4 linked regions of the Anolis sagrei genome follow. The protein of the gene in region 1 interacts with the protein of each later gene in a pairwise test. Links are inferred from orthologs where the notes say so. Each region holds a gene or a part of one and is shown in the gene's direction. Other genes may lie near its edges. The genes, in order: HOMEZ, PRKAA2, SNRPB2 and DEF6.

Region 1 (7,270 bases):
GAATTCTAGAGCTTACCAAGGAAGGATTCTGACTTGACTTTTTCCTCCCGAGGGCTCTGCGATGAACGTCCTCTCTCCGCCCCTCGTCCGGCCCAGCGAAGCTCTATGCACAACCTGATGTCTCCCGTGCCCTCTCTTTTCCGGGCACTCACAGCCATCTCTGACAACGAGTCTCCCATGGGCTGGAGCATCTTGACTTTGCCAGTTGAGGAGGAGCTGAGGCAGAACCACGTAGAGACAGACCATCTCTTGCTGGGGCCACACACAGGTAAGTGTACCTGGCCCAGAGGAGAAAGCATTGATGTCGCAATAATGAAGGATACACAGCCATGAACTTTCCTCTTCTCACTTGCAGGCTTGGTTCTCCCAGATGCTGAAGGCCTCAATGCCACCACACCACCTTGCCAGTCCATTTTCTTCAACGAGTGCCTGTCCATGAGCCGATGCCGGACAGCTTGCCAATCAGTGGGAGCCTGGCGCTACCGCTGGTTCCACAATGCCTGCTGCCAGTGTGTAGGGCCTGACTGCCGGGGCTATGGCGGGGCCCAAGCCATTTGTTCCAACTGCCGGGATTAACTCTCAGCTTTTCTCTTTACATGTACATGTACACATGTGTGGGGCCCTCAACCAACTTATTTACCTGCCTACCTCTCTCTCCCACCTTCCCTTTCTTCCTATTCTGAGCGTTGTGAGCAAGACCAGTCCAATACATTTTTCATAACATTATTTTTGATGCTACTTCATAACTATAATTTTGCTGCTGTTATGAATCATCATGTAAACATCTAATAAAGGTAAAGGTTTTCCCCTGACATTAAGTCCAGTCGTGTCCAACTCTGGGGGGTGGTGCTCATCTCCATTTCTAGGCCGAAGAGCCAGCGTTGTTCGTAGACACCTCCAAGGTCATGTGGCCGGCATGACTGCATGGAGCGCCGTTACATCTGATAGGCAGGATGTATTTTCATTCATCGTACCAAATTTGGAGCCATGGAGAAGAAGAACTCAACAGGTTCCTGGACCATCTTAACAGCATCCACCCAAACATCCAATTCAGTATGGAAAAAGAAAATGAAGGAAGACTGCCTTTTCTAGATGTCCTAGTCATCCGCAAACCAGATCAACAATTGGGTCACACTGTCTACAGAAAACCCACACATACAGATAGATACCTACATAAAAACTCCAACCATCACCCAAGTCAAAAAAGAAGCACCATTAAAGCCTTGGCAGACCGTGCAAAAAGAATCTGCGAACCCCACCTCCTCCAAGATGAACTGAACCACCTAAACTGGGCTCTCCAGGCCAATGGAGACTCCACTTCAGACATCAGAAGAGCTGCAAGACCAAGAACAAGCCACGAGAATAAAGATGAAGATCCACCCAGAGGAAAAGTGTTCTTGCCATATATCAAGGGAACCACTGACCGCATAGGGAAGCTGATGAGGAAACACAACATACAAACTATTTACAGACACACCAAGAAAATCCAACAAATGCTACGTTCAGCAAAGTACAAGAGGGATCCTCTCACCTCTGCAGGAGTCTACCGTGTACCATGCAGCTGTGGACAAGTTTACATAGGGACCACCAAACGCAGCATTGCCCAAACACGAATCAAGGAACATGAAAGGCACTGCAGACTACTTCAACCAGAGAAGTCAGCCATAGCAGAGCACCTGATGAACCAGCCTGGACACAGCATATTATTTGAGAATACAGAAATGCTGGACCACACCAACAACCACCATGTCAGACTACACAGAGAAGCCATTGAAATCCACAAGCATGTGGACAATTTCAACAGAAAGGAAGAGACCATGAAAATGAACAAAATCTGGCTACCAGTATTAAAAAACTCTAAAATCACAACAGCAAAACAGCAGAGAGGAAACAACCAGGCACATCTTAACACCTCTCAACAAAAGGTTTTCCCAGGCTCAGGCAGGCCTTCAAATGCTAATGAAGATGGTCAGCTGAAACATTCACACCTACCTCTAGCAGAGAAGAGCTCTTTGCCCCACCCCAGCCATTCCACAGATATATAAACCCATTGTCCTATTTCCAACAGACTTCACTACCTTTGAGGATGCTTGCCATAGATGCAGGCGAAACGTCAGGAGAAATGCCTCTAGAATATGGCCCTATAGCCCGAAAAAACCCACAAGAACCTAAAGTATTGGTTCTCAAACTGCTATCCTTCAGATGTTTGGAACTTCAAGTCCTAATATTTCTGAGCACTGCTCATATTCGCTAAAATCAAAAATATCTCAAGGACCTGATTTCGAAAGCTGCTGGAGGGGAAGGATTGATGAGAGAAAATAGTATTCTTGAAGTACTACATGTCTACCTGAAAATATACAATAGGCAAAGGTTTCTGAGACTAGCTTCTGGCACCTGGTTAACCACAGAATGTGGGCTTCCTAAGGTGTTGGATAACAGCTGTATCTTTAATCTCAGGTAAGCAAGTAGAATGCATGTTTGAAACCTTGATAGGCCACCATATGTAGCAGGAGGGCTGAACTGGTGAGAAATAGATTTTGGGAGCTCTATTCCTCAGGCTGTGGGGTGAAGTCTTTCTGAAGAGGGTGCTCACCAATGCTTCCTCTTCATCCTGGAAAGAAGTGACAAGTGGAGTGCCGCAGGGTTCCGTCCTGGGCCCAGTCCTGTTCAACATCTTTACTTATGACTTAGATGAAGGACTTCAGCCAGCCATCACCGAAACCTGAACTCCTTTTCCCTTGGAAGTCTACAAAGCTCTGCTTGGTAAGGGTCACTCGCGGAAGCCAGAAACAGTTGGTACCAGGTGCAGGGGCTCCATGCCAATAGAGGCAAAGACAGACTGCCCAGGTTAGAAGTTAAGGATTTCCCCATTAGTTACAGTTATGAAGATAGTGCCTGTTCCCTGTGGACAAGATTGAGAGAGAGCCAATAGACTGTTAAGAAAGCCTTAAAGTACCTGTTTGTTTTCATCAATAAAGAACATTGTTGAACCTTTAAACAATCTAAAGACTCTGTTTTAAGGAAATCCAAGGGCCTTTAATCTGAGGCAGCCCTGGAGTCCCATTGGGCACACAGAATTTATGTCCTGTCTACAGTCTTATGCACAGGCCCAGCATGCGACAGCACATTGGACATTACACAAATACATAAACCCTACTTGCCTAGTCAGGAGAAAATGCTTCTGGAACATGACCACACAGCCTGGAAAACTCACAGCAAACCAGTGTAGGGTTGTTTCCCCATTCAAACGCATGCTGCTTTGGAAGCACGAAGACAACACAATTACAAGTCCCTTTTCCCAGCCTTGCTAAACTCTGTTTCTCCAGCCTTACCAAGGAGCTGCGGCTAAACCTGCCAGTGGTTCTCAACCCGGGGTCCCCAGATGTTTTTGGCCTTCAACTCCCAGAAATCCTAACAGCTGGTAAACTGGATGGGACTTCTATGAGTTGTATTTATTTATTTATTTTTTACAGCTTTTATATTCTGCCCTTCTCACCCCGCAGGGGACTCAGGGCGGATTACAGTGTACACATATATGGCAAACATTCAATGCCAATTTTTGACATACAAACATATACAGACATAGACAGAGGCTATTTAACTTTTTCTGGACACCAGGGGAGCTGTCACTTTCATCGTCCATCTGCGACGCTGATGAAGCACTTCCGCATTCCCCGCATGCTTCCCCACTGGAATGCTTTGCTGGAGTCTTTTTTTATGGCCTCATAAATTAGTTAATTTAGCCTCCCCACACAAGGTGGTACCTAATTTTGCTACTTGACAGACGCAACTGTCTTTCGGGTTGCAAAAGTCGACAACAGGCTACACAATTGGTTGGAAACCCACTCCAACCCGGGCTGGCTTCGAACTCATGACTTTTTGGTCAAAGTGATCTTAATGCAGTTGACACTCAGCCAGCTGCGCCACAATCCCGGTGTAGGCCAAAAACATCTGGGGACCCCAAATTGAGAACCACTGAGGATGAGAAAGAGAAGTAGAAGGCCAAGAAGACCTGAACAGGCTTTATTAACTGAGGTATCAAAGACAAAATCCCAGTTGCCTTTCACCTGGTCAGGAGCAGCTTTCCGCCCTAAATGTTCCAGAACGGTTGAAGCAACAATGAAGGGAAAGCATGCCTCTGAGCACGTGCAGAGTGAAGTCTGGCAAGCCAGCCCTCTGCATGGCAAGGAGGGGGTGGGGAGGTTGGGGTTGAAGGTAAAGGGGTGTGGTTTGAGCTCGGGCTCCCCTTTGTTGTGTTGCTTTGTTATTCCAAAACATAGTTGGTTCACCTAAGCAGCTGGATTTTGCCTTTCTTCCTGCCTTTCAAGAGCGGAGTGGACCACCGCCCCGCCTCTTGCAGCCCCTGCCAGGCCCCTGGATGGCTCTGCCGCCCTGCCCGTCCTCTGTGATGCTCGCCGGTCCCTCCCGGGTGGGTGAGCCCCCTTTCCCCTCCATGGCCCCGGCCTCTCCCCCTCATGAGGCCCTTGAAGCCCCCTTCGCCTCTCCTTCCTTTCTGGCCTCCCTCTCCCCCTTTTTGCTGCCATTCTCTCCTCTTTTCCTCCCTGTTCCTTTTGTCTGCCCTTCCTTCCTTCTTTCCTTCCTTCCTTTTGTCTGCTTCTTCTCTTTCTGTCATTGTCTCCTTCTGTCATTCCAAGTTCCCACTTTTCTTTCCTCTCCTGCCTTGCTCCCCACATCCTTTCTTCTTCCCTCCGCTCTCTTCTTTCTTTGCCTTTTGATCTCTCCATAGTGACAGCATGCTCTTCTTTCCCATCTTTCTTTCCGAGTTGGGGGAAGAGAAGGTAAGTGGCTCCAAAGAATAGCCATTTGCTTCCTCTTCCCAAACCTGTCCTGTCTTTGCTGGGGGTCCTTCCACACAGCCCTATTCAGCTGGGTGGAAGGCCCCCCAGAATATCAAGGCAGGAAATCCCACATTATCTGAGTGCGGACTCTGGGGGCCCTTCCACCCAGCTGAATGAAATCCCACATTTTATGCTTTGAACTGAAATATATGGCAGTGTGGACTCAAATAACCCAGTTCAAAGCAGATATTGTGGGATTTCCTGCCTTGATATTCTGGGTTATATGACTTTGTGGAAGGGCCCTGAGATATAGGGCTTGAGGAAGGGCCCTGTGACAATATAACAGGAAGAAAAGGATGCTCTGATGGTGATCCTTAATGTGTTTTCCTGTTCCTTTTCATCTTTTGCTAAAAGGGAGGATCTGAGAAATTGGGGCAATTCCTTGGAAGCATGGGGGACAGCAGGCAGGTTGGATGGCATGGGAGGAAGTGTGGGATTTTGTATTGTCAGAGGCGTTTGTGGCCGGAATCTCTGGGTTGTGGTGAGTTTCCCGGGCAGTATGGTCATGTTCCAGAAGCATTTTCTCCTGACATTTCATCTGCATCTATGGCAGGCATCCTCAGAGGTTGTGAGATCCCTTGCCTTTTTCAAACAGACAAGAGTTCTTTCTCCCACCCTGGACATTCCACAGATATATAAACCCCACTTGCCTAGCTTCCAACAGACCTCACAATTTCTGAGGATGCCTGCCATAGATGGGGGAGAAACTTCAGGAGAGAATACTTCTGGAACATCTATGGCAAGCATCCTCAGAGGTAGTGAGGTCTGTTGGAAAGTAGGAAAATGGAGTTTATATATCTGTGGAATGTCCAGGGTGGGAGAAAGAACTCTTCTTTGTTTGAAGAAGACAAGACACCTCACAACCTCAGAGGATGCCTGCCATAGATGGGGGAGAAACTTCAGGAGAGAATGCTTCTGGAACCTCTATGCCAGCCATCCTCAGAGGCAGTGAATTCTTCACAGCACAAGGTGTCACCCCAAAGGAGATTCATCAGAGAATGCAAGCTGTTTATGTTGATTGTGTTGATGTGAGTACTGTGTGTCGTTGGGCAAGTAAGTTTAAAGATGTTGAGGTGGGAACAATCTGATTTGTGCAACAAACAAAAGCTGGACGTCCTCTGACAGCAACCACCGAGTTTCACAAGCAAAAGGTTGACAGATTGATTTAGGATGATCATCATATCACTCAGAGAGTTCTGGCCCAACTTATCTGTCCAAATGCATCTCCCTTTATGAACCTTCCAGGGCTTTAAGATCGTCTGGGGAGCCCCTGCTCTCGATCCCACCCTCATCACAAGCACGACTGGCGGGGATGAGAGACAGGACCTTCTCAGTGTTGGCCCCTTGTCTATGGAACGCCCTCCCTAGGGATATTAGATCAGCTCCCTCCATTTTAACATTCTGGAGGAAAGTCATAACTTGGCTTTTGGAGCAAGCGTTTGCAAGTACAGTGTGACTGCCATAGGAGTAGAGTAACTGCTTTGGGAGTCTGTGATCAGGCATTCGGACAACGTGGCTGGTCCAGCAAAGTAGATGGCGGAGGAGCATCGCTTCAAGGCTGGTGGTCTTTGCTTCTTCCAGCACACTGACATTTGTCCGCCTGTCTTCCCAAGAGATTTGCAGGATTTTCCTGAGGCAGCGCTGATGGAATCGTTCCAGCAGTTGCATGTGACATCTGCAGAGAGTCCACGTCTCGCAGGAGTATAGCAGGGTGGGGAGGACAATAGCTTTATAAACAAGCACCTTGGTATCCCTATGGATGTCCCGGTCCTCAAACACTGCTTCATTCAGAAAAATGCTGCACTTGCAGAGCTCAGGGCAGTGTTGTATTTCAGTGTCAATGTTGACTTTTATGGAGAGGTGGTTGCCAAAGTAGCAGAAATGGTCAACATTTTCTAATGTTAAACTATTAAGCTGTACTTCTGGCATTGAAGAGGGATTGGCTGGTGACTGCTCGAAGAGCATTTGGTTTTCTCGATGTTTAATGATAGGCTGAGCTTCTCATATGCTTCTGCGAAGGTGTTTAGAGTGGCTTGTAGGTCTTCTTCTGAATGCGCACAGATGACGTTGTCATCAGCATATTGGAGTTCTATAATAGATGTTGTAACCTTGGTTTTGTCTTTGAGTCTGCTGAGGTTAAATAGCTTGCCTTCTGTCCGCAGATCATTTCCACTCTGGTGGGAAGCTTCCCATCAACTAGATGAAGTGTCATAGCGATGAAGATGGAAAATAAGGTTGGGGCAATAACACATCCCTGTTTGTATCCAATTATCTGGCAATTATGTGGAAAAGTGAATAGTGGTAGTTAAAGAGCACATTCTAAGGATTATTTCTGCGTTTGGTTTCCTAAAATATTCCCATCCAAACCCAAGTAAAGAAGGTGGAGGCATTACTTTTCATTCAACCCTCGC
Region 2 (7,306 bases), on another chromosome or scaffold:
AGATTTTAAACAGTTCAGCTGGGATCCTGTCGTCTCCTGCTGCCTTGTTGTTAGCAATGCTTCTTAAGGCCCATTCAACCTCACTCCTCAGGATGTCTGGTTCTAATTCATTCACCACACCGTCAAAACTATCCTCAATATTATTATCCTTCCTATACAGATCTTCTGTATAGTCTCGCCACCTTCTCTTGATCTCTTCAGCTTCTGTTAGGTCCCTGCCATCTTTGTTTCTTATCATACCAATTTTTGCCTGAAATTTACCTCCAATGTTTCTAATTTTCTGGAAGAGGTCTCTTGTCCTTCCTATTCTGTTGTCTTCTTCCACTTCCATGCATTGCTTATTTAAAAATAGTTCCTTATCTCTTCTGGCTAACCTCTGGAATTGCGCATTTAACTGGGCATATCTCCTCTTATCCCTGTTTCCTTTTGCTTTCCTCCTTTCTTGGGCTACTTCCAGTGTCTCAGCAGACAACCATTTTGCCTTCTTGGTTTTCTTTTTCTTTGGAACGTACTTTGTTGCCGTCTCCTGAACAATGTCGCGGACTTCTGTCCATAGTTCTTCTGGGACTCTGTTTACTAAATCTAGTCCTTCAAATCTGTTCTTCACTTCCACTGTATATTCGCTAGGAATGTTAGTGAGATCATATCTAACTGGTCTGTGTATTTTCCCTGATCTCTTTAGTTTTATTCTAAATTGTGCAATAAGAAGTTCGTGATCTGAGCTACAGTCAGCCCCAGGTCTTGTTTTCACCGACTGGATGGATGTCCACCACCTTTGGCTGCAAAGGATGTAGTCAATCTGATTTCGGTGTTGACCATCTGGTGAGGTCCATGTGTAAAGCCGTCTTTTAGGTTGTTGGAAGAGAGTATTCGTTATACACAGCGAGTTTTCCTGGCAAAATTCTATCAGCCTGCGTCCCGCTTCATTTTGTTCTCCCAGACCATGCTTGCCTGTGATCCCAGTTGTCACTTGACTTCCCACCTTGGCATTCCAGTCTCCCGTAATGAAAATAATGTCTCTTTTTGGTGTATTATCCAGTAGGTCCTGCAGATCCTCATAGAACTGATCTACTTCTGCTTCTTCAGCAGCTGTGGTTGGGGCGTATATTTGGATCACTGTAATGTGTAAAGGCTTTCCTTGCACTCGAATTGAGATCATTCTGTCATTTTTTGGGTTGTATCCAAGCACTGCTTTAGCGAATTTCTTATTAATTATGAAGGCTACTCCATTTCTTCTATGTTCCTCTTCTCCGCAGTAGTAGATCTGGTGGTCCTCTGATGTGAAGTGGCCCATTCCAGTCCATTTCAGTTCGCTGACCCCCAGAATGTCTATCTTTAGTCTTGACATCTCACCAATAACAACATCCAATTTGCCCTGGCTCATAGATCTTACATTCCAGGTTCCTATGGTGTGTTGATCTTTAGAGCATCGGATTCGTCGTTCACCTCCAGTACCGTCGGCAGCTAGCCTTCCTTTCGGCTTTGAGCTAGCTGCGTCATCACATCTGGGGCTAGTTGAACTTATCCTCTGCTCCTCCCCAGTAGCATTTTGGCCATCTTCCGACCTGGGAGTCCCATCTTCCAATGGCATACCGACATATCTCTGGTTGTACTGGTCCATTTAGTTTTCTTGGCAAGGATACTGGAGTGGTTTGCCATTGCCTTCCCCAGGGATCATGCTTGGTCTGACCTCTCTGCCACAACCGTCCCGTCTTGGGTGGCCCTTCACGGTTTTGCTCATGACATCATTGAGGTGCTCAAGCTCCAGCGCCCCGACAAGGCGGTGATCCTTTGCTGGAGAGTAGGATTTTATATACAGTTATTTCACTTATAATCATAAGGAATGTTGGAAGTCATTGTAAATTTCTTTGTTGCTGTTGATTTTAGCTGTATTTTTTTCTATATACCATATTTCTTCAATTGTGAGACACCATCAATTGTAAGATGCATCCTTATTCCAGTATCACCTACAAAAATACATAAAGTACACCTGTGATTCTAAGACTGGACAAAACTTAGCATAAATAAGCATCATGACCAGCTTTAAGTACTGGTAGGGGTGGGGGGTTGACCTTGGATGCTGGGAGTTGTTGTTCACTCAGTCAAAGAGGATGCTGAACTCCACCAATGATGGATCTGTACCAAACATGGCACACATCCCCATCTTTAAGTACTGGTGGGGTTGGCCAATGACAGAAATGATGGGAATTGCAGTCCACCCATGTCCAGGGAGCACCATGAATGCAATCAATCAAACTTGGAACACTTACCCATCATGATCAACTTTAACTACAGGCACCATTTGGGGGCAATGACAGATGACGATGGGATTTGTAATCTATCCCCATCCTTATGCATTTCCTAATGAGACTATTCATAAAATCCAAAAACTATGACTGCTTCTAATAACACTATGTAACAATATTTGAAAAATAAAAATCTGTTCCTGGTTTGAAAGTGTTATTTCCTGTTTAATTGTGTGGTACTTACTTTGAAAGTAGTTGTTGTAGTCCAGGATCTTCATTTTTGTGGCTTCCACAAACTATGTTGAATTGGTTGAGACCTGATGAGACATTCATTGCAAAACTCTAGCAAAATGTGCTGCAGGGTGTCCTGCAAAAAACACAGTTTTTGCAATGTAATAAACTGGGTTGCTGTGAGTTTTCCAGGCTGTATGGCCATGTTCCAGAAGCATTTTCTCCTGATGTTTCATCCCACATCTATGGCAGGCATCCTCAGAAATTTGTGAGGTCTGTTGGAAACTAGGCAAGTGCAGTTTATATATCTGTGGCATGTCCAGGGTAGAAGAAAGAAGTCTTGTCTACTTGAGGCAAGTGTGAATGTTGCAACTGCCCAACTTGATTTGCATTGAATGGCCTTGCAACTTCAAAGCCTGGCTGGTTGCTGCCCGGGGAAAATTTGTTGGGATGAGTTAGCTGGCCCTGGTTGTTTCTTATCTGGAATTCCCCTGTTTTCTGAGTGTTGTTCTTTATTTACTGTCCTGATTAGGGTGCAGTGAGTTAAACAGCTAAGCTGGTTGGCAGTTTGAATCCACAGGACAGGGTGAGCTCCTGTTGTTAGTCCCAGCTTCTGCCAACCTAGCAGTTCAAAAACATGCAAATGTGAGTAGATCAATTGATTTGGCAGGAAGGTAAGGGCGCTCCATGCAGTCATGCTGGCCACACGACCTAGGAGATGTCTATGGACAATGGCGGCTCTTTGGCTTAGAAATGGAGATGAGCACTAGCCCCCAGAATCAGTCACAAGTAGACTTAATGTCAAGGGGAAGCCTTTACCTTTACTGGGTTGTTGTAGGTTTTTTCAGGCTATATGGCCATGTTCTAGAGGCATTCTCTAGAACATCAGGAGAGAATGCCTCTAGAACATGGCCATATAGCCTGAAAAAAACCTACAACAACCCAGTGATTCCAGCTGTGAAAGCCTTTGACAATACATCTTTACCTTTAACACCTCCAAACAAAGGATTCCCCCTAGCCATGCTTTGAAGCTGCAAGGCCGTTCAATGCTAATTAAGGCGGCCAATGGCAACATCTACACTTGCCTCAAGCAGAGAAAACTTCCTGACTGTGAGAGCCGTTCAGCATTGGAACTTTCTGCCCTGGAGTGTGGTGGAGGCTCCTTCTTTGGAAGCTTTTAAACAGAGGCTGGATGGCCATCTGTCAGGGGTGATTTGAATGCAATATTCCTGCTTCTTGGCAGGGGGTTGGACTGTGGATGGCCCATGAGGTCTCTTCCAACTCTTTGATTCTTTGATTCTATGAAAAGCTCTTTCTCCCACCCTAGAGATTATTCTACTGATATATAAACCCCACTTGCCTCGTTTCCAACAGACCTCACAACCTCTGAGGATGCCTGCCATAGATGTGAGTGAAACGTCAGGAGAGAATGCTTCTGGAACATGGCCATATAGCCCCAAAACTCACAGCAACCCAGTGATTCCAGCCAAGACAAAACAACACAGTGATTCCAGCCAAGACAACTTTCCACATATTTTATGACTGAACCAATTAGGAAATGACATTGATAAACCAGGACCAAAAAAAGTCGTGTTGCATAGTGTAATTAGAAAAAATATATGAATAAATGAGAGAAAACACACACAGAGAGAGACATGTTTTAGCCATCCCCAGGGAGAAGAAATGCCTTCCCGCCTCTTCTCCTGCGTACCTGCCCACCTCTCTCCCTCCCCTTCCCTTCCCCACCTCTGGGCTCTGCTGCTGCCTTGGCTGTTGCTGCTGCCTCTCCTCGCCTGCTGCCTCCTCCTTTCCCCGCCGCCCTCCCCATCCCTCCCCGCCGCCTTTGCCGCCGGCCCTGCTGCATTGTGGTCCGGCCCGGCCGGTGTCGGCGGAGGCAAAGCTGCCAAGAGCAGCAGCAGCAGCAGCAGAAGCGGCAGGAGCAGCGAAGATGGCAGAGAAGCCTCCGCCGCCGCAGAAGCACGACGGGCGCGTCAAGATCGGGCACTACGTTTTGGGGGACACGCTGGGCGTCGGCACCTTCGGCAAAGTCAAGAGCTGAGTATCTCCCAGGGGGGCGCCGCGGAGAAGGAGGGAGGGAGGGAGGAAGGGAAGGGGTCCGGTCCTGAGAGCGCCCTCCCAGCGCTTCCCATCCAGGCAGGAGCCCCATGAGCGCTGCTCTTGCGCCTCTAGGACGCCCCTTCTTTGGGGCCAGTCTTTTAAAGCCCTCCCTCGGGGTCTCCCAAATGCCCCCCTCCCCCCTCCCCATGGCAGCAAGGAGGAACCCACCCCAACCTTGGTCAAGATATCAGCTCATTGGGGACATCCCTGTTTACCTCTCCCCGTTATCCAAAAGCATCTTTAGACTATATCCCAGACTTCGCCCTCCAGGTGTTTGGGACTTCAGCTCCTACAATTCCTGACAGCCGACATACACACAGTATGCATGCATACACACACACACATTAGGATTGTGGGAGTGAAGTCCAAAACACCAGGAGGGCCCAAGCATGCATGCTTGTGTGTGCGTGTGTATGTACACACACACACACACACACACACACACATATACATGCATACCAGGCATGGGCAAACTTCGGCCCTCCAGGTGTTTTGGACTTCAGCTCCCACAATTCCTAACAGCCAGCATACACACAGTATGCATGCATACACACACACATAGATTAGGAATTGTGGGAGTTGAAGTCCAAAACACCAGGAGGGCCAATAATGCATGCTTGTGTGTGTATATATATATATATATATACACCAGAAATGGGCAAACTTCAGCCCTCCAGGTGTTTTGGACTTCAGCCCCCAGAATTCCTAACAGCCGGCATACACACAATATGCTAATCTTCTCTGTATCATCCCAATTTTAGTATATGTGCTGCCGAAGTGAGCAATATGCATGCACCCATGTAAGTGTATGTGTGTGTATACACATAGATACACATACAGATGCATTAGGAATTGTGGGAGATGAGGTCCAAAATACCTGGAGGGCCCAATTTTTCCCAGGCCTGGTATATATATATATATATATATATATATATACACACACACACACACACACACACACACAGTATGCATGCATTCATGTGTGTGTGTATATATACCAGGAATGGTCAAACTTTGGCCCTCCAGGTGTTTTCCTAACAGCCGGCATACATGCAGTATGCATGCACACATGTAAGTGTATGTGTATACACACACATACACGTACAAATACATTAGAAATTGTGGGAATTGAAGTCCAAAACACCTGGAGGACGCAAGTTTGTGCATGCCTGGTATATACATACACACAGTATGAATGCATACTGGTAAGCTGTTAGGAATTGTGGGAGTTGGAGTCCAAAACACCTGGAGGGGCAAAGTTTACTCATTACTGGTACACACACAGAGAGATGTATATGTGTGTATATATACACATACATATACACACACACTATATACACTCTCTCTGTACACACACAGAGTATATATGTAGAGGGAGAGGGAGAAATCCTGCTCTGGTCTGGAACCTTGTCTCCCAAACGCTGGTCTCCCAGGTGTTTTGAACTCCAGCTACCAGAATCCCTGCTCATTGGCCCTGACAGCGGAGGCTTCTGGGAACTGAGAGTCCAAAACTGCAAGAGCACTGGGGTTGAAGGTCTGGGGGTATTTCTCAAAGCAAAGGTGGAGTCGTTGGTGGACCTGCCTCATTGTCAAAGGCAAACACTTGGTACAAATGATCTTAACGTGTTTTTAATCTCACCTCTGCTATGTAATATAATAATAATAAAACTTGATATCCCGCCCACCTCCCAACATGGGACTCAGAGCGTCTGACAACATAAAAGGCAAATATGCAATGCCAACAAGTATATACATAATACTGTAGACTTTGAGAGGTTTTTTTGTGTCAGGAGCAACTTGAGAAACTGCAAGTTGCTTCTGGTGTGAGCGAATTGGTCATCTGCAAGGACATTTCCAAGGGGACACTTGGATGTTTTACTATCCTGTGGCAGCCTTCTCTCATGTCCCAGCATGAGAAGCTGGAGCTGACAGATGGAAGCTCACCCTGCTCCTCAGATTTGAACCGCCGACTTTTCAGTCAGCAGTTTTGCCAACACAAGAGTTTTACCCATTGTGCCACTGGGAGCTCCTAGAATCTCAGTTAACTGGCACCCACAGGGATTGGTAGATGTATTTATTTATTTATTTGCAGTATTTGTATACCACCCTTCTCAACCCCGAAGAGCACTTAGAGTAGTTCACAGTGTTCGCAACAATTCAATGCCATCAATAAAAAACAGTATAAATGTCAAATAAATGTGGTTTCTGGTTGCTTGAGAGTTACTAGTAAAAATAGGCCTCATATTCTACGCTATTCTGTACCATATCATATCATAAACTCTGTATTGACAATATTAATATTGAAATACAGCAATGGAAAGTCATTTAGGAAAGATAAAGAGAAGCTTAATTTATCACAGTTTTATTGTATTGTAAAAACAGTTTTGTGAATTCTATGTAATTTCTTTGATTTCTTTTGCTAGTTAGTTGAGAGTCTATTTTATAAATGTTTTAATGATCTTGTTATCTATATATTTTAAGTGTATTGTCCCTTGCCTTGAGGGAAAGTTGGGTGAATAATAATAATAATAACAACAACAAAAACAATCCAAAATGCAAGCATTCGTCTACTGCTTTCTACATATAGGATTACCACATATTGGAGCCCCCAGTAGCATGGTGGTTTAAACCACTGAGCTGCCGAACTTGCTGATCGAAAGGTCACAGATTCGAATCCTTGAAGCGGCATGAGCTCTTGCTGTTAGCCCAGC
Region 3 (6,947 bases), on another chromosome or scaffold:
AATATCAAGGCAGAATATCCCACATTATCTGCTTTGAACTGGGTTATCCGAGTCCACATTCAGATGTGGGATTTCCTGGCTTGATATTCTGGGATATAGGGCTGGGTGGAAGGGCATTGAAGTTCAAAGCAGATAATCTGGATTTTATATGGTTGTGTAGAAGGGCCCTTCCACACAGTCCTATATCCCAGAATATCTAGGCAGAAAATCCCACCAATATCTGCTTTGAACTGGGTTATCCGAGTCCACACTCAGATGTGCACAATATGTGGGGCTGCCCTTGAAAATGGCCCGGAAATTTCAATTGGTACAATGGGCGGCAGCCTGGTTACTAACTGGTGTCACTTACAGGGAGCGGTCAACCCGCCTGTTTAAGGAGCTCCATTGGCTGCCGTTCATTTTCTGGTCCCAATACAAGGTACAGGTTCTTACCTGAACGGTTTGGGACCCGCTTACCTGCATGACCGCATTTCTGTGTACGAACCCACACAATCTCTTCGATCATCAGGAGAGGCCCTGCTCGCGCTCCTGCCTCCTTCGCAGGCGCGATTGATGGGGACGAGGGCCTTCTCAGTGGTGGCCCTGATATCGAGCTCTTTTTGGGGGGCTTTCCCAGCGAGGAAGGCCCCAGAAGACCGCAAAGGGGGTCTCTGACCTTGGTGAGCTGCCAGCAAAAGCCAATCCAAAGCGCAAAATATTAAGAATTAATCCCACCAGAGGCTGAAGAGGTATCCAGCGACCGAAGCGTTTATTTCTGCGATTCAGCTGAAAAGGATGCGTTACAGGGATAATTCCACCATAAGCATACAGTACAGTGATTTCCAGGCATATTTATACAAGTAAAACAAAGAAAACCTGGTTTGAAACTCCCGCCCGCCTTCTGTCAGCTCTCTCCGCCCTGATTGGCTGGCTCTGGAACAGCTGGGAGGAGGCTTGGCCGCTTGTCCCGCCTCCCCTCCAATCGCCGGGCGCTGTCGCCTCTAGGGGGCCAATCAGAGCCCTTAGAGCGCCTCCGAAGATGGTCCAATCAGCGGCCAGGAGGCGGGACGTGGTTTGACAGCTCAGAGGGGGCGGAACGCCTGGGAGGCGTCCGCCAGCTGATTGAGAGCCTTTGTTCTTACACGGCAGGGTGGCAGACGGGAGAAACAAAGGATTTCCTGATTTCTGATTGCAGATGTGTATAGACATGAAAAGGGGCTATTGGTGGCATTTGGATCTCAAAACTCTGTAGACAAGGGGACCCTTAATCACAAAGGAGCTTACACAAATACCATGATTGATTTAATCAGTCCGTTTTCCGGGTTTCGGTTGACCCATCTCTGGCTTGTTTGTCTGACTCTGAAAACAAACCTTGAGATAATTGTCAACCCTGATCCATGCAAAATGTCAATATGAATGGGGTTATTTTGAGGAAATTGGATTTCCTCCGCTGTAGCCTCAGGTCACATCCTTTCTTAGTAGGGTAAAGTTCAGAGGAGAAAAGTAGGGAAAAGGGCAAGGGTACATCTCATAGATTTCATATTATACATATCATATACATTCTTCATAAATCTTCATAAGTTTCATAAATTTCATAAAGAGATCCCCATCCCAACCCAGCAAAGTTTATTAGAGGTAATAACAATTGATAAAAGCAATTCATCTCTGTTTGAAGTATGATCTTCTTGGCAAGGGCGCACGCACAGGCGGAGACTATTCTCTCCAAGAGGCCTGGTTCAGAGTCCGTGGAGGAAGTTCATGACGATAGGGCATCAAGTCAATCAGTGAGGGCAAAGAGGTCCGCAAGGAATTCACAAATGGTGGAGAGTGGGGCAATGTCCTTTAGAAAACTACATTTCCCTGATCAGGGGCCAGGGTCCAGTGCACAAGCCAGAGAATTCACAGAGAGGAAACAGGAACCCAGTTATGTGTGCTGGGTCAGGAAGCAACAGAATCCATTGTCTGGCCCTTGGCGAACTACAAATACTTGGGGGGGGGGGAGATGCTCCGCATCAGCCCCCTAACTCTGGAACTCACTTCCCAAGGACATCAGGCATGTCCCAACTCTGGCAGTCTTTAGGAGGAGCCTGAAAATGTGGCTGTTCCAGTATGCCTTCCCAGAATAAGGAAAATTCTCAGCAATATGCCCTCAGAATGCACTTTACAATTGGTTTAGGATTGACTGCGCTCCCTCATCTCTCTTTTAAAACCCTATACCAGATATATCCTACCTTGTTCGTGCCCAGCGTTTATTTTTTAATTTTTAAACTATTACATTGGCCCAGCCATAGGTTTTTTAATCCTTGTTGTGTTACTGTTTATTGGTTATTGTTTATATGTGATTTATATTAATTGTATTGTATTTATTGTTTTTGTTTATTGCTTCTTGTTCTTATTGATGGGTTGTTGGGCCTGGCCTCATGTAAGCAGCTCCGAGTCCCTTGGGGAGATGGTGGCGGGGTATAAATAAAGTATTATTATTATTATTATTATTATTATTATGTTATCATACCTCTTTAGCAAGCAGACATTATACATAAAAGAAACCTGATTTTGGGTTGTTTTATCCTGGCTCATGTCTTCTTTCAGTAATTGGTTAAATGGACAAACCCAGAGGGTGCTCACCAATGCTTCCTCTTCATCCTGGAAAGAAGTGACGAGCGGAGTGCCGCAGGGTTCGGTCCTGGGCCCGGTCCTGTTCAACATCTTTATTAATGACTTAGATGAAGGGCTAGAAGGCATGATCATCAAGTTTGCAGATGACACCAAATTGGGAGGGATAGCCAATACTCCAGAGGACAGGAGCAGAATTCAAAACGATCTTGACAGATTAGAGAGATGGGCTAAAACTAACAAAATGAAGTTCAACAGTGACAAATGCAATATACTCCACTTTGGCAGGAAAAACGAAATGCAAAGATACAGAATGGGGGACAATGCCTGGCTCGAGAGCAGTACGTGTGTAAAAAAGATCTTGGAGTCCTCATGGACAACAAGTTAAACATGAGCCAACAATGTGATGTGGCGGCAAAAAAAGACCAATGGGATTTTGTCCTGCATCAATAGGAGCATAGTGTCTAGATCTAGGGAAGTAACACTACCCCTCTATTCCGCTTTGGTTAGACCACACCTGGAATATTGTGTCCAGTTCTGGGCACCACAATTCAAGAGAGATATTGACAAGTTGGAATGTGTCCAGAGGAGGGCGACTAAGATAACCAAGGGTCTGGAGAACAAGCCCAATGAGGAGCGGCTTAAGGAGCTGGGCATGTTTAGCCTGAAGAAGAGAAGGCTGAGAGAAGATATGATAGCCATGTATACATATGTGAGAGGAAGCCACAGGGAGGAGGGAGCAAGCTTGTTTTCTGCTTCCTTGGAGACCAGGACGCGGAACAATGGCTTCGAACTACAAGAGAGGAGATTCCATCTGAACACGAGGAAGAACTTCCTGACTGTGAGAGCCGTTCAGCAGTGGAACTCTCTGCCCCGGAGTGTGGTGGAGGCTCCTTCTTTGGAAGCTTTTAAAGAGAGGCTGAATGGCCATCTGTCAGGGGTGCTTTGAATGCAATATTCCTGCTTCTTGGCAGGGGTTGGACTAGATGGCCCATGAGGTCTCTTCCAACTCTAGGATTCTATGATCCTTTGCAGCATTCCATGTGGCCAACCAGTTTTGGGGGGAATGAGAGTTCTTGCCCAGTGGTTGTATGAACCTAGTGATAAGTTTGATAGGCCTCTATACTCCTGAGGCAGGTGAAGACAAGAGGGCCAGGTTTTTCTCTCCTCCTTCTCCCCTTGCTCTCCTAGAACAACACTAAACGTTTCCTTTCCCTACTCCCTGTCTCTTTATAAAGGTTACTATGACTCTACAAGGTTCCCCTCACCCTATGAGGCCACGATGATGCTGGCAGCTCTAAAGTGAGAAAGCCCCGCCCCTTCATGGAGAGCCGGAAGTAGCTTCTGCGCCCGGAAGCGGAAAGGCGGTGCTCGTGAAGTCGTCTCTCTCGTGCTTCCCTCTTCGTTCTCCAGCCCGCAGTCCCTTCTCTCCGCTCAGGTAGGCGGTCCTGGATGGTTCAGCCTTGCCATTGTGATCCTTCGGATTTGTTTTGTCAAAAGATGGGTTTTTTTTGGGTCAACATAGACTACCTTTGCCCTTCCAGGTGTTTTGAACTCCCAACTCCCACAGTTCCTAACCGGCTGTTAGGAATTGTGGGAGTTGAAGTCCAAAACATCAGGAGGGCCGAAGTTTGCCCGTGCCTGGTCTACTAGCTTTCAAAAAAGGCATGGCTTGTTTTTGGATTTTGTGAATGCACCCGTTAGAAATTCTTGCAGATAGAATCAAAGAGTTGGAAGAGACCTCATGGGCCATGCAGTCCAACCCCCTGCCAAGAAGCAGGAATATTGCATTCAAATCACCCCTGACAGATGGCCATCCAGCCTCTGCTTAAAAGCTTCCAAAGAAGGAGCCTCCACCACACTCCCGGGCAGAGAGTTCCACTGCTGAACGGCTCCCACAGTCAGGAAGTTCTTCCTCATGTTCAGATGGAATCCCCTCTCTTGTAGTTTGAAGCCATTGTTTCGTGTCCTAGTCTCCAGGGCAGCGGAAAACAAGTTGCTCCCTCCTCCCTGTGGCTTCCTCTCACATATTTATACATGGCTATCATGTCTCCTCTCAGCCTTCTCTTCTTCAGGCTAAACATGCCCAGCTCCTTAAGCCGCTCCTCATAGGGCTTGTTCTCCAGACCCTTGATCATTTTAGTCGCCCTCCTCTGGACACATTCCAGCTTGTCAATATGTCTCTTGAATTGTGGTGCCCAGAATTGGACACGATATTCCAGGTGTGGTCTAACCAAAGTGGAATAGAGGGGGAGCATGACTTCCCTAGATCTAGACACTATGCTCCTATTGATGCAGGCCAAAATCCCATTGGCTTTTTTTTGCCGCCACATCACATTGTTGGCTCATGTTTAACTTGTTGTCCACGAGGATTCCAAGATCTTTTTCACACGTACTGCTCTCGAGCCAGGCATTGTCCCCCATTTTGTATCTTTGCATTTCGTTTTTCCTGCCAAAGTGGAGTATCATGTATTTGTCCCTGTTGAACTTCATTTTGTTAGTTTTGGCCCATCTCTCCAATCTGTCAAGATCGTTTTGAATCCTGCTCCTGTCCTCTGGATGGGGTTGGCAGTAGTGGGTGAAGGTACTGCATCTCCCATAATCCAGGTTCCTATACCCCCAAACCCCATCAGGATTTAAAGTGGGTCATGGGACATCTATGTGCTAAATTTGGTCCTGATCCATGGTTAATGGAGTTCACAGTCGTCTCTGGATGTGGGTCAAAGTACTGCAAATCCCACATCATCCAGGTTCCTACCCCCCCCCCCCCCAAACCCCACTAGGACCTAAAGTGGGCCATGGGGTATCTGTTCCAACTTTGGTCCAGATTCATGGTTGATGGGTTCACAGTTGTCTCTGGATGCGGGTGAAGGTACTGCGACTCTCATCATCCAGGTTCCTACCTCCCCCCCCCCCCAAAAAAAAACCCCCACCAGGACTCAAAGTGGGTCATGGGGTGTCTGTGTGCCAGGTTTGGTCCAGATCTATGGCTAAAGAGGTTTGCAGTAATCTCATGATGTGCGGGACAGTACTGCAACTCCCATCATCCAGAGTTCTTCCCCCAAGAAACCCCACCAGAACTTAAGTGGGTCATGGGATTTCAGTGTGCCAAGTTTGCTCCAGTTCCGTCATTGGTGGGGCTCACAGTTGTCTTTGGAAGTGAGAACCAATAGGAAAGCTGCCGCAAACTTACACAAATCTTGACAAGAAAAACACCATAAGTAGGATCAGCTTGGGTTGATTAGAATTGCCTGAAAAATGCAAAACAAAAAAGTGAGTTCCTTGGAGAAAAGGCTAAATAAGCTATCTTGTTTCCTAGGGAAGTTAGAAGATGGATATTCGACCAAATCACACGCTTTACATCAATAATGTTAATGACAAAATTAAAAAAGAAGGTAAGAAAATAGCTCAGATCTTTTATTCTACCATGTTCTGGTGCCTAGGGTCAAGATATGTGTGTGTGTGTGTTCCAGCTTATAATTTTCACTCTCTAGTAGGCTTTGTCTTTAACTGTTTTGGTTGTTATTGGAGTGAATTGTTTAATATATTGACAATTAGCTGTTGTCCTTTTGGCTGCAGTTCTTTCCACTTTTACCTGGACACAGCAGGATTTTCTTGTGAAGACATATATTTAAGACTGCACTGAAAACTATTTATACAGTATTATCCACAAATTTGATATCTATAGTTTCAATTACCCATACTCCAAATTTATTTGTAGGCCTTTCTAGGTCCTCCAGTGTAAATCCAGCAAACGTGCAATCAAAATATAGGGTTTACTATTGCCCACAGTGTCAGGTATCATTTCTCCAGTAGATATCAAGGTCATACTAGTTTTACATTTTGGTGAAAATGGAAAGCAGTCTATGTGACACAAGTTAATTTAATTATTATTGTAAGCAGTGTTTGTATATTTTCTTGGAAAATTACAATAACAATGTGGTAGAAGCATGCATTTAATGTTGTACTTGAAGCACTTTTAGCCCACTGTTTAGGACAGAGTCATCTATGTGTAGTGAATTTTATATGGCTACAGCATAGTCCTTCAGTTTGCAATCTAAAAGGTGCTAAAGAAAATGAAAGTGGAGAGAAGAGAAAGCTTTTTGACACTAGTTTTATAGCCCAGTGTCCTAATAATGGTGTAGGATAGTGTACTGCAACAGCCTTCCATTACCTTATTTGCAGTATGAGTACACAAAACCTGCAATACAGTAACTGACCGCATTTCTGTGTACGAACCCACACGATCTCTTTGATAATCTGGAGAGGCCCTGCTCGCTCTCCCACCTCCTTCACAGGCGCAATTGGTGGGGACGAGGGAGAGGACCTTCTCGGTGGTGGCCCCCCAACTCTGG
Region 4 (7,756 bases), on another chromosome or scaffold:
GCCTTGCAGTTCATAGAGAACTTGTATAGACAGAGCTTCTGGTTTCCTGGCAGTTTTTTTTTTGTTATAACAAAAACCCTTATGATTCGGTAGGCCAGTGTTTCCCAATCTTCCTAATGCCACAACCCCTTAATACAGTTCCCCATGTTGTGGTGATCCCCAACCATAAAATTATTTTCATTGCTATTTCATAACTGTCATTTTGCTACTGTTATGAATCGTAATGTAAATATCTGATGTACAGGATGTATTTTCATTCACTGGACCAAATTTGGCAGAAATATCCAATACGCCCACATTTGAATACTGGTGGGGTTGGGAGGAGGATTGATTTTTGTCATTTGGGAGTTGTAGTTGCTGGGATTTATAGTTCACCTACTATCAAAGAGCATCCTTAACTCCACTAATGATAGAATTGAATAAAACTGGACACACAGAATTCCCACAACTGACAGAAAATACTGGGTTTGATGGGCATTGACCTTGAGTTTGGGAGTTGTAGTTCACTTACATCCAGAGAGCACTTTGGACTCAGACAATGATGGATCTCGACCAAACTTGGCACAAATACTCAATATGCCCAGATGTGAACATTGGTGGGGTTTGGGGAAATAGACCTTGACATTTGTGAGTTGGAGTTGCTGGGATTTATAGTTCACCTACAATCAAAGAGCATTCTGAACCCCACCAACGATAGAATTAGGCCAAAATTCTGACACAGAACCCCCATAACCTACAGAAAATACTGTGTAGGGTGAATATGAGAATATCTTGAACTTATCAATTTGCTTTTCATTCCAGAATTGAACTCAACTGATAGTTGGGTTGACAAAAGTCCAACCCAAGCTTTCTTTTTTTCCATTTCACCAGGTGGAAAATGTATTTTTATGGTTATTTCTGCCAGTAGAGCTCTTGATAGACACTGATCTGCCTTTAGCCCACTATTTATATAGACTATGTTGACTTCTGCCATCTAAGAGCATATCTTATGTTTTGAGAAAGAGCTCAGCTCAACTAGGGAGAACACTTCTGAAACAGCTTGCTGATCAATCTGAAAGTAATACTTCAGAGTTTATTTTGCACATTAGTTTTCAGTGCAACCCATGGTATATCGATGTATTGTTGAAGGCTTTCATGGCTGGAATCACTGGGTTATTCTGAGCTTTCGGGCTGTATGATTATGTTCCAGAAGCCACAACTCTCTGAAGACCAAGTATCCATACTAGCAAAAGGAGGCAATTTTGCTGTTATCACCACCAGAATCCCAGTAGAAAACATAATTGCTAATTTCAAATCAGAATTGTCTGTGGCCAATTGAAACATTTACACCTACCTCCAACAGACAAGATTCTTTCTCCTACCCTGGATATTCCACAGATATATAAACTCAATTTTCCTAGTTTCCAACAGACTTCACAACCTCTGAGGATGCACATAGATACAGGTGAAACATCAGGAGAGAATGCTTCTAGAACATGGCCATACAGCCTGGAAAGCTCACAACAACCCACGGTATATTGTTTTATACTCTTATATTTTCACTTTGAAACTTCTAGTTTTGCACAGGTCTCTGAACACAGTTGCCGGAAAAGGGCCAAAAATATTTATGACTCACATATCTTTATCTATAGACCACCCTTTTTGTGTATATATATTATTTAACATTGTTACCATGCATTCTTACAGTTGTGTTTATTGAGTTTTCTCATGTGTAACGTAGTTGCTTCAGAACAAAATAAAACCTATCCACCCCATGACATTCTGCCTTTTTAAGCATTTCTGGTAGTCACTTGTAAAATACAGCGTCCCAGTCTCACTTTTGGTCTGAACACCTCACCCCCGGGAAACAATCTTAGAAAGTCTATAAACCCAAAATATGTGAAAACTTGATTTTAGAGAAAATATTGTGTGTCTATGATAGATCCTTTTGACAAATGACATTTCAGAACGAGGTTTTATTCTTTAGTAAAGATTGGTTCAAGTTATCTATTGAACCTATTTGTACTTTCTGACCTCCCCTTCATATCCCTAGTCAAACATTTTGCTGATTTTCAGAAGGTGCATTTACACCAGGCACTGGCAAACTTGGGCCCTCCAGGTGTTTTGGACTTCAACTCCCAGCATTCCTAACAGCCTCAGGCCCTTTCCTTTTCCCCCTCAGCCACTTAAGCGGCTGAGGGGGAAAAAGGAAAGGGCCTGAGGCTGTTAGGAATGCTGGGACGGAGTCCAAAACACCCGGAGGGGCCAAGTTTGCCAGTGCCTGATCTACACTATAAACGTAGATATGATATAGCTCGATGTATGGAACAATGAGAATTGTACTTTTTGTGATGCACCAGACTATTTCTCAGGGAAGGCTTAAGACATTGCAAAACTACCATGTCACTGAGCCATGGCAATTGAAGTGGTGCCAAACTACATTAATTCTACAGTGTAGATCAAACTCTTCATAAGCAGAGCAATGAGTCTGAAATCTAATTCTCTTACACTTCACACCTCCTGCAGTTCTTTCTCTTTCTTTCCCTGGAGGGGAAGGGAAGTGGCTAAAGATTTCCTGTCCTGTGGCCAAAAATAGATTGCTATGATTTGAAAGGGGAGAAAAAAAAGATGGCCCTGATCCTGAGTCTTTTCAAGAGACAAAACATGTTTATTTTGCCAGATCAATATCCTCATAAACCAGTTCCCCTTTAAAGCAGCAATGCAGCTTGGGACAAAGGGCTGGAAAAATATTGTTAAGGAGACAAATTACTGGATAAAGCTACATATTTAATTTAGAAATGCTGTTTTATTGTTAGAGGCAAAGTGCTAGAGTTGGTTAAGAAAACACCTGTAACCTAGACAGCTTGGATTTGCAGGCTGGAACGTCACATTTTGGGGGGAGGGAAATATTTGCAATATGTATTTAAACCCAAAGCCATATGAAGTTGAGGACAGCCTCTAATGTAAACATTTCAGAAAAGTAAAAACAAAACAAAAACGCCTTCAGGTTACACAGTTGAGTGGGCTCCCCCCTCTGAGTTATATTTGATGGAATTGAAGGTTCATATCAATTTATGTATTAAAGGTACACTTACTTTCCAAATTCCTAGAAATTCTTAATGCTTCTATAACCTTTCTAGAGACACCTCGATCTACATACAACATATTCTGTCCATGCACAAATTGCTGTTGGAGACATTTCCAGGATGCTTACACTACACAACGTTCCTGTTATTGGGTTGCTGTGAGTTTTCTGGGCTGTACTGCCATGTTCCAGAAGCATTCTCTCCTGACATTTTGCCCACGTCTATGGCAGGCATCCTCAGAGGTTGTGAGGTCTGTTGGAAATTAGGCAAGTGAGGTTTATCTATTTGTGGAATATCCAGGGTGGAAGATAGAAATCTTGTCTGCTTGAGATAAATGTGAGTGTTGCAAATGGCCATCTTGATTAGCATTTAATGGCCTTGCAGCTTCAAAGCCTGGCTGCTTCCTGCCTGAGGGAATCCTTTGTTGGGAGGTGTTCGCTGGCCGTGATTGATTATTGTCTTGATTTCCCCTGCTTTATTTACTGTCCTGCTTTGAGAGTTTTTTTTTTAATACTGGTAGCATCTACACTGTAAATGCCAGATTTTGTTCATTTTCATGATTTCCTCATTTCTGTTTCTGTTATTATTTATTGATTCCACTGGTGTATAAAGCAGAAAGCTTTTACTAGTGTAAAGAACTTATTGCTGGCAGGCAAGTGTGGGAGTTGAAGTCCAAAACACCTGGAGGGCCCAAGTTGGCCCATGCCTGGTGTAGATGGACTCAGAGGATGCAAGATGTTTCTTTGGTTTCTCTGGGCCGTCATCCATATCCTTTGGGCAGTGTAGATAAGTAGTGTAGATGAGGCATGGGCTTACTTAATTTCTTAGGTGATCCCTCATTGTGCGAGTAGGATGATCCTTCAGGGCAGTGGTTCTCAACCTGTGGGTCCCCAGGTGTTTGGCCTACAACTCCCAGAATCCCAGCCAGTTTACCAGCTGTTAGGATTTATGGGAGTTGAAGGCCAAAACATCTGGGAACCCACAGGTTGAGAACCACTGCTCCAGGGTCTGTGTGCAGTGTGTGGTGGGTCCGTAGGTGACTGTGGAGCCTTATTCTTGATCTGCATCTTCTCCCACAGTGAGGGCATTAGTTTCCAGGTGTAAGGCGGTCCTGGTTGGGGTTGGCTTGATGCGCCTTCCTCTTGGCATGTTTCTCTCTTTCGCCCTCTATTCGTGCCTCTTCAAATTCTACAGCATTACTGGTCACAGCTGACCTCAAGGGCCAGGGCTTCCCAGTTCTCAGTATCTATGCCAGAGTTAAGGTTGGCTTTGAGCCTGTCTTTAAATCTCTTTTCCTGCCCTCCAACATTCTATTTTCCGTTCTTGAGTTCGGAGTTGAGCAACTGCTTTGGGAGACAGTGGTTGGGCATCCGGACAATGTGGAGTTGATGGCAGAGGCAAACTTGGGCCCTCCAGGTGTTTTGGACTTACGTGGACTAGCCAAGCTTACGTAGCTAAGGAGAAATGGAAGGAATGCTGGGAGTTGAAGTCCAAAACACCTGGAAGGCCCAAGTTTGCCCCTGCTTGGTATAGATGTACCCAGAAGCATTGCTAGGTCAGCAGGGGAAGGTGCTGTTGCGTTTGCGACCAGCAGATGGCGCTGTGGCACAAGCGGTTTCCCGCGGAGGGCTGCGGCGCGCTTCCTGCGAGCGAAGGAGGGAAGGGCGGAGGAGGAGGCGCCTGGCTGCGGAGCTTGAGCGGCGGTGACGGGGTTGTCAGCGACTGTTTCTCTCTCTTTCCCGGCATCATGGAGCTGCGAGCCGAGCTCCTGAAGTCCATCTGGTACGCCTTCACCGCCTTGGACACCGAGAAGAGCGGCAAAGTCTCAAAGTCGCAGCTCAAAGTAAGTTTGGAGAGGGGACACACCTGCAGCTGGGATGCAGTTGGACCCCTACTTTCAACTCAATGCTCTGGAATCATTGGAGGTGTAGTTTTGCAAGGTCTTTAGCCTTCTCTGCCAAAGAGATCAAGCTGAAAAACTCTAGGGTTGAATAGCATTCAGCCATGGCAGTTAAAAGTGGTGCCAAACTGCATTCATTCCAGACAAGAGATGCTCAACTGCTTCTCAACCTCTCCCTGATCCTTTCCACATCCCCAGCCTTTGAAAGTGAGCAGTGTCTTATTAGGACCTCATCACACTACAGAATGAATCCACTTTAAATCCGGTTTCTGCCTCCTGCAGAATTCTGGGGTTTGCAGTTTAGGGAGGGGCCTTTAACAGCCACGGTAAGTTACAAACCCCAGAATTCTGCAGGAGGCAGAAACCGGATTTAAAGTGGATTCATTCTCTAGTGCAGTGGTTCTCAACCTGTGGGTTCCCAGGTGTTTTTAGCCTAAAGGTAAAGGTTTTCCCCTGACATTAACTCCAGTCCTGTCTGACTCTGGGGTGTGGTGCTCATCTCCATTTCTAAGCTGAAGAGCTGGCGTTGTCCATAGACATCTCCAAGGTCATGCGGTTGGCATGACTGCATGGAGCGCTGTTACCTTCCTGCTGGAGCAGTACCTATTGATCTACTCACATTTGCATGTTTTTTAACTGCCAGGTTGGCAGAAGCTGAGGCTGACAGTGGAAGCTCACACCGCTCCCCGGATTCAAACCTACTACCTTTCGGTCAACAAGCTCAGCAATTTAACCCACGGCACCACCAGCCAGGCCTGTAGCGAGGGGGTGGTTTTAGGGGTTCAAACCCCACCCGAAATGTTTCAGATTTTTTTAAAAAACCTAGTTTACTCATGAATTTTAACTGGTTAACCAAATCTCCATGCTAAGTCTATGAGATGCAAAAAATTAAGAGTCCCTCCAGAACTGTAAGCACTATCTCAAACAAATATTGACAATTTATTCACACTGTCATTACTTGCAGCAATAGCCGATGTAGTGAAGCAACCAAGTTGGGTGTGTGTGTGTTGAATGCTCTCATTAAGGAGGCCAGACTTGGTGGAGGTGGTTGACAGGGGTGGAGTTGCAGGCTATTGAAGGCTGCTCTTTCCCCTGCTGTGCTCTTTGCTTCAGCGTGAGCTAGGAGGCAAGTTTCAACCCCCCCCCCCCAAATTTTCAACCCTCCCCAAAATTTTCAACCCCCCCCCCGAAATTGTCAACCCTCCCCGAAGTTTTTTTCTGGCTACGGCCCTGCCACCAGCTGTTAGAGTTGAAGGCCAAAACATCTGGAGACCCACAGGTGGAGAACCACATGTTCCAGTGTGATGAGATCCTTAATGTGACTATTTTCCATGTTTTCTTTTGTGAAAGGAGGAGGAAAGAAAGCTTTCCCAGCTCCCGCTTTTTCATACTAAATACTAATACAAGTAGTGGCATGAATGGGAGTTTAGTGCTTAATTGCAGAACTTGGGGAGGGAGATAAGATGCCAGGGTGTGCTAGGAAAGTAGGGCAGAAAACACTGGTTCGTGCCTGATGTAAATAGTGAGCGACACCTCGGGGAAATCAATCAACACAAGCTGATACACGCAAGAGATAATGTCAGAGGCTGTCTTCCTTCAGTGTCTCATGGAGAGTGCACCCACACTGACGAATCAATACAGTTCGACACCACAAATACATCCACACTGATGAGTTAATACAGTTTGGCACCACTTTAATGGCCTGTGAGTCAATGCTATGGAATCATTAGAGCTGTATTTTTGCAAGATCCAAAGTATGGTGGGGCCTCACCAAAGTACAAATCCCAGGATTCCATCGCAGTTAAAGAGGCATCAAACTGCATTAATTGGATAGTGTAGATCATGCATGGGCAAACTTGGGCCCTCTGAGTGTTTTGGACTCCAAGTCCCAACATTCCTAACAGCCTCAGGCCCCTTCCTTTCCCCCCTCAGCCGCTTAAGCGGCTGTTAGGAATGCTGAGACTTGGAGTCCAAACACCCAGAGGGCCCAAGTTTGCCCATGCCTAGTGTAGATTGACTCAGAGGATGCAAGATGTCTCTTTGGTTTCTCTGGGCCGTCATCCATATCCTGTGCTCATTTCCAGTGTGGAATGAATGCAGAAATTGGGCAGCTGTTTGGCACAGCCAACTCTTCGGAGAACTCCCACATTGACATAGTTCTTGGGTTTTGGAAGATCTTCTTGGAAGGACCTTCTTACACCCCAGTGTATTAAGCGTGCTTTTCCTGATATAAATATACTGTTTAATTACTTCTGTTATTTTTCCTTTTTGTCCTGTATTAAGAGTTGTGATAGATTTCCTTTTCCTCCCCAATTGAATTATAATGTCCCAGGTTTGGAGTAATATCACTCTAGAGCAGTGTTTCTCAACCTTCCTAATACCGCGACCCCTTAATACAGTTCCTCATGTTATGGTGACCTCCAACCATAAAATTATTTTCGTTGCTACTTCATAACTGTCATTTTGCTACTGTTATGAATCGTAATGTAAATATCTGATATGCAGGATTTATTTTTATTCACTGGACCAAATTTGGCACAAATACCCGATACATCCAAATTTGAATACTGGTGGGGGTTGGGGGGATTGATTTTGTTATCTGGGAGTTGTAGTTGCTGGGAATTTATAGTTCACCTACAATAAAACAGCATTCTGAACTCTACCAATGACGGAACTGGACCAAATTTGGCACACAGAACTCCCATGACCAAGAAAAAATACTGGAAGGGTTTGGTGGTCATTGGCATTGATCTTGAGTTTGAGAGTTGTAGTTCACCTACTTCCAGAGAGC

Evidence for each region.
Region 2: the proteins of HOMEZ (region 1) and PRKAA2 interact in binary tests that used the Homo sapiens proteins (3 or more experiments, as listed by UniProt). The two-hybrid records come from large-scale screens. The link is inferred for Anolis sagrei from reciprocal best matches to the Homo sapiens genes HOMEZ and PRKAA2.
Region 3: the proteins of HOMEZ (region 1) and SNRPB2 interact in binary tests that used the Homo sapiens proteins (3 or more experiments, as listed by UniProt). The two-hybrid records come from large-scale screens. The link is inferred for Anolis sagrei from reciprocal best matches to the Homo sapiens genes HOMEZ and SNRPB2.
Region 4: the proteins of HOMEZ (region 1) and DEF6 interact in binary tests that used the Homo sapiens proteins (3 or more experiments, as listed by UniProt). The two-hybrid records come from large-scale screens. The link is inferred for Anolis sagrei from reciprocal best matches to the Homo sapiens genes HOMEZ and DEF6.

What each region holds. Positions count from the first base shown.
Region 1 is NC_090026.1:9,112,857-9,120,126, forward strand, and holds the start of HOMEZ (homeobox and leucine zipper protein Homez), read left to right. Parts: upstream 1-4,259; 5' UTR 4,260-4,429; intron 4,430-4,615; exon of another isoform or gene 4,616-4,799; intron 4,800-7,270. Other genes in the region: twisted gastrulation protein homolog 1-B-like, read left to right, coding at 53-268, 356-576. UniProt on the Homo sapiens protein: May function as a transcriptional regulator.
Region 2 is NC_090024.1:170,779,688-170,786,993, reverse strand, and holds the start of PRKAA2 (5'-AMP-activated protein kinase catalytic subunit alpha-2), read left to right. Parts: upstream 1-4,297; 5' UTR 4,298-4,425; coding exon 4,426-4,531; intron 4,532-7,306. UniProt on the Homo sapiens protein: Catalytic subunit of AMP-activated protein kinase (AMPK), an energy sensor protein kinase that plays a key role in regulating cellular energy metabolism.
Region 3 is NC_090021.1:157,445,693-157,452,639, reverse strand, and holds the start of SNRPB2 (U2 small nuclear ribonucleoprotein B''), read left to right. Parts: upstream 1-3,932; 5' UTR 3,933-4,030; intron 4,031-5,911; 5' UTR 5,912-5,923; coding exon 5,924-5,987; intron 5,988-6,947. UniProt on the Homo sapiens protein: Involved in pre-mRNA splicing as component of the spliceosome. Associated with sn-RNP U2, where it contributes to the binding of stem loop IV of U2 snRNA.
Region 4 is NC_090024.1:189,813,733-189,821,488, forward strand, and holds the start of DEF6 (differentially expressed in FDCP 6 homolog), read left to right. Parts: upstream 1-4,737; 5' UTR 4,738-4,812; coding exon 4,813-4,908; intron 4,909-7,756.